Saccharomyces cerevisiae S288C: one gene and its partner. The gene in region 1 interacts genetically with each later gene. Each region holds a gene or a part of one and is shown in the gene's direction. Other genes may lie near its edges.

Region 1 (2,698 bases):
GATTCATATGGTTCTAACAACAATGATTCATATGGCTCTAACAACGATGATTCCTACGGTTCTTCCAACAAGAAGAAGAGCTCTTATGGTTCTAACAATGACGATTCGTACGGCTCCAGCAACAACAATGACTCTTACGGTTCCAACAATGACGACTCTTACGGTTCGTCAAACAAGAATAAGAGCTCTTACGGTTCTTCTAGCAACGATGATTCTTACGGATCTTCCAATAACGACGACTCTTACGGTTCTTCCAACAAGAAGAAGAGTTCTTATGGTTCCAACAATGACGATTCTTATGGCTCTAACAATGATGATTCATATGGTTCTTCCAACAAGAAGAAGAGTTCTTATGGTTCCAGCAACAACGATTCGTATGGTTCTAACAACGATGATTCCTACGGTTCTTCTAACAAAAAGAAGAGTTCTTATGGTTCCAACAACGATGATTCATACGGCTCCAGCAACAACAATGACTCTTACGGTTCCAACAATGACGACTCTTACGGTTCCTCTAATAGAAACAAGAACTCCTATGGGTCTTCCAACTACGGTTCATCCAACAATGATGACTCTTATGGTTCATCTAATAGAGGCGGTCGTAATCAATACGGTGGTGACGACGATTACTAAGTTTTTGGATGTCTTCGATAAAAAAAATATATTATTGTGTTTAGACTTAAGTATGAAAATTTTATGTATGAGCTGTGGCTATGTATCCGCTGGCAAATAGGTCTGCTTTTTCTACACTTTCCACCCTCAACCTAACAGAGCCCGCTGGCACAAATAATCGATAGTAGGACAACAGAGCTACTCCTTCTTATGCCCCGCCCCTTTGAGCTTGTTGTATTGCTCTTGATAGTTGTGTTTTTCACTTTCATCAGCATCGGTAGTCTTGCCGTCCTTGTCTTGACTAGCCATTTTCTTAAAAGCGTCACTCACTACCTTTGCATCGCCCTGCAATTTTTCCTTTGAGCTCTGAAATATTTCGCTCACTTTTTGTTGGTCTGTATTCATTCTGGATGTCTTGGTTGTAGAAATTTCTTTTATTGGTTCATTAAAGTCAAGGTAAATGGCGAGAACTAGAATAGAGTTTTATTCTTTTTACCGTTATATAGATAATTCTAGCCGGGGGCGGTCGCCCCTGAGATTCCCGACATCAGTAAGACATAGTACTGTACGATTACTGTACGATTAATCTATCCACTTCAGATGTTCAACAATTCCTTTTGGCATTACGTATTAATACTTCATAGGATCGGCACCCTCCCTTAAGCCTCCCCTAAATGCTTTCGGTACCCCTTTAAGACAACTATCTCTTAACCTTCTGTATTTACTTGCATGTTACGTTGAGTCTCATTGGAGGTTTGCATCATATGTTTAGGTTTTTTTGGAAACGTGGACGGCTCATAGTGATTGGTAAATGGGAGTTACGAATAAACGTATCTTAAAGGGAGCGGTATGTAAAATGGATAGATGATCATGAATACAGTACGAGGTGTAAAGAATGATGGGACTGAGAGGGCAATTATCATCCCTCAGAATCAACATCACAAACATATATAAAGCTCCCAATTCTGCCCCAAAGTTTTGTCCCTAGGCATTTTTAATCTTTGTATCTGTGCTCTTTACTTTAGTAGAAAGGTATATAAAAAAGTATAGTCAAGATGTCTAACATGATGAATAAGTTCGCTGAAAAATTACAAGGTAACGATGATTCCCATCAGAAGGGAAAGAACGCCAAATCCTCCAACAAGGAAAGGGATGATATGAACATGGACATGGGTATGGGTCATGATCAGTCCGAAGGGGGAATGAAGATGGGCCATGATCAATCTGGAACAAAGATGAACGCTGGCAGAGGAATTGCGAACGATTGGAAGACTTACGAAAACATGAAAAAATAATGTTACGTTTTTTTGGGCGCAATTAACCAAGTCCTTTTATTTTTTTAATGGTTTATTTATGAATTGTTTATGTTTATGTTCTTTATACTCAAAATCAATAAGTGCTTATTTTAGCGAATTTTCTTCTACGAATATATATAAGTCATATCTAAGACTTCCATCCGTGCTTTATTACGTTTGTATGATGCATACAATGATGCCAAATCAGCTTGATGCTGTTGGTATTCAGTCGTCCGAAAGCCTGTTGATGTGACACTCAAATCTTCGGCATGTGTGAACGGTGGCCGAGCATAGTTCGTGAACATCATCACTTAAAATAAGAACTACACTTTACATCAGCGTGGAAGATAAAGGTTGTTTTAAGCTCAAGGGCGCTGGAGGTGTAGCGCTTCGGAGGAAAATAATATTGAATAACTTCGCTTTTTGTTCCAAATTCTAGATTATCGTGTATGTTCTTGTTCGTACGTCCATCTCCATAGTTATAATGAGTGGGCATGATTCTGTTACAAAAATATCTCATATCCTGAATGAACCGGTTAACGAAAAGGTAATGGTACAAAACGGGTTCCATGAAAGCTCTAAAATTGCAGACATCGAATTAGAGATACAGGAGCGACCTTCGATTAAACAATGGGAATCGCCGCGGAGTGCTGTAATTCCTACTTCAAATCATAATTTTAGCCCATTTCTCTATACGCAATTTAAATCTCGTGGTGCAGCACCGTTTGCACCTGAAACAATAAAATCTGTAGATTTAGTTGAGCTACCGGAGGGTGTACCCGCAAGAGTGT
Region 2 (2,878 bases), on another chromosome or scaffold:
AAATTGGGTCCCCCCAGCAAACAATTCCTCAATGCAATAATCTGATAGTTGGATCAACCCTTTCAAGTCGTGCCGCCATCTGAATAGGTTGAAGTTACCCAAGCGGATCCAGCTGGGCGCAAAACGGCATACAACAGCGCACGGTTCTTGATTGCGCCTTTGCGCCTTCGTCCCCGGTAACAGAGTTAATTGCATAGCTCTTGTGGATGGAATTCCAATACTGTGCAACGCCTCGCTCATTATGAATTCACGTATGCTTGATCTTAACACAGCTTTCCCATCTGCAAACCGAGAAAATGGCGTCATACCGGCACCTTTCAACTGAAACGTTTGCCATTGTCCGCTACACTTGTCCTTAAGATCAAACAAGTTTACCACACGTCCGTCTCCCAGCTGTGCAGCAAATGAGCCGAATTGAAATCCGGAGTACACTGTACTATAGGGAAAGATACTATCGGAATAATATACTTTCTCACCGGATAGTATTTTCTCCAAGTCCTGATCCTGCACCAAATTAAACTCATCAAGTGCGTTTTGCGAAAGCAGTAATGGCTTGTAATGTGGTTTCTTAGTGGGCAAACAAAATGCAAAATGAGCCCCCTGCGAAACCATCCGAGGCGTATGGAAAAGCTTTAATCTCACGGGATCCGTTGCATTGTACTGCTGCACGACGTTTATTGCCTCTTGTATGGACGACAGGGAAGTATCTGCGGTCAACTTCTTGATGAAGTGGGACGCTGCAGAGTTTTTCAGCGCTTTGATTATTGTCCTTTTTTCCCCCATGATTGTGTTACACGCTCTATCTTCTTTCTCACACCTTCCTTCTTCTACTTCCGGAGTATAGTCTCTAGCTTATCCTTGATGGCTCTTTTTATGCAGGCAGAATAATTACAGTGACGTATTTGTGGCTTCTTTGGCACAACGTTTTGTTCCACGATCACCTCATATCACCGTTAAGTTCTTCATCGTCCAATTCCGGAGTTCCCCGTCAGCCGTGCGACCATGTGGTATTTCACCCGAATAATTAAGGGAAAACAGAAGGAGAATTACGTATCTTAAAGGAGCTAGACTCTTTGCCTCATTGAGGCTTTCTATACATCGGGTCCCCATGTATGGTCCGTTCCATAGTCGAAGCATCCTTAATTTCCTGTGACATTACAGTAGTTTCGCCGTAGAGCCTTTCACGGGAAGAATATGTTCAGTGGTTCCAGGTATGGGTTTGAGGATGTTCTTGTAAGGTGTGTAGATCCCATCTTTTTTAGGGATCACAAAGGGAAAATAACTACACAGCATGTGGTGGTACAGATGAGGTCAATGGCAGTTTTGCCTTAGTTGTAAGTAATTAACCAATCCTTGTCGTGCTTCTCATGAATGTGTATGAATTTATGTTCATCAGAATATCCCTCTTTAACCACAGTTCTTGCGTAAAGCATAGTCTGGCTTCCTTTAGAAAAAGGAAATGTGGTAATTCTAGGACCACGTTTTGGGCTTCGTCATTTCTTTTCACTCCTCCACTTTTATGACATTTGATCGCAAGTTCCTCCATACATCATGCCTAGTAATCAAAACAAATAACGCACAAGGGAGTAAAGGGAAATGGTTAGAAAAGACCGAAATCCTTTTTTTGGTCTCCGTTACGTGCTTGTTAATCAGGCTCCCTTGAAGCAGTCAATATTTCTTGGACTATAAAAGCACATTACTATTTCATCAAAAAAAGGATACATACCTACCCTCAACTCTTAATATCTACTAGCAGCAGAGCCAAACACTACCGCATAAAAGCTAAGTACGAATAACAATTAAGAAATGTCCAATCTATTAAACAAGTTTGCTGATAAGTTGCACGGCAACGATCATGATGAACGTTACGAAGACGACAATGACGACCAGACTAGACAACAGCGTCATGAAAAACATCAACAGAGGGAATTCAGGAATCAAGGATCCAAGGCCGATCCCTACGGCGAAGAAAACCAAGGGAATTTCCCTCAACGCCAGCAGCCACAGTCTAATCTAGGCGGTAACACGCAGTTTGGCGGTAACGACTTCCAGCAACAAACTACTGACTACACTGCCGGCACTGGTGGTGGCACTTATACCCAAACTTACCGCGAAACTAACACTCAAGGTCAGTTGGACGACGATGAAGACGATGACTTCTTGACTTCGGGCCAACAGCAAAAACAAGGTCGTACAAGAGGTGCTCAAAGTAACCGCTACCAATCCTCTAATATCGGCAGCGGTAGACGCGATCTGTCTGGGTCAGGAAACGATGAATATGATGATGATAGTGGGAACCAAGGCGTCTGGTAGATGCGGTGGTCGAAGCTTCTATTACATGCCTGAGGTGCGGGTCTCACCCTTGAGCAGCAAGTGAGAAATTTTACCCTAATTTCGTCTTCTTTTTTCTTTTTTCTTCATCTGGACCTATTATTGGTCATGATGCCACTTTTTACAAACTATTTCATATGTTTAATCTAGTTTATTTAGATCTACAGCTGTCAGTTTATACGTTTTTATTAATGTCAGTTTGATTTGATTAGTAGTGACCTTTTTCGTCGAGGTATGCCGTTTCACGGACCTCCAGATCCAGGTGTATAACAATAGAATTATGGGAAAACGGGGTGGGAAGGTCGTTGTCTAACTCAAACCTCCTGGAATTAGCGGGTAAAGTGTCGTTATTGTGCTGGGCAACAACTTTTTTTTACGATTTCTTTTTACCTCTCATCTAGGTTAGTGTTAGTTGTAAAAACCCGAGCAGATTGGTGCCTTTTCAAGTGCGTTCTTACAACCATACTTTTTTATTCTAGAACGTGTAAGCAATTACTTTCTCAAAAAAGCAAACGCAATAAAGATATGCTACGGATAAGTATTGACT

Evidence for each region.
Region 2: of SIP18 (region 1) and GRE1, changing one enhances a phenotype caused by changing the other (phenotypic enhancement), as found in Saccharomyces cerevisiae (one study listed by BioGRID).

The regions. Positions count from the first base shown.
Region 1 is NC_001145.3:609,349-612,046, forward strand, and holds SIP18 (Sip18p), read left to right. Parts: upstream 1-1,667; coding exon 1,668-1,907; downstream 1,908-2,698. Other genes in the region: DDR48 (DNA damage-responsive protein 48), read left to right, coding at 1-633; PAI3 (Pai3p), read right to left, coding at 811-1,017; YMR175W-A (uncharacterized protein), read left to right, coding at 1,966-2,160; ECM5 (Ecm5p), read left to right, coding at 2,392-2,698.
Region 2 is NC_001148.4:128,067-130,944, reverse strand, and holds GRE1 (Gre1p), read left to right. Parts: upstream 1-1,806; coding exon 1,807-2,313; downstream 2,314-2,878. Other genes in the region: FMP40 (Fmp40p), read right to left, coding at 1-783; MMT2 (Mmt2p), read left to right, coding at 2,857-2,878.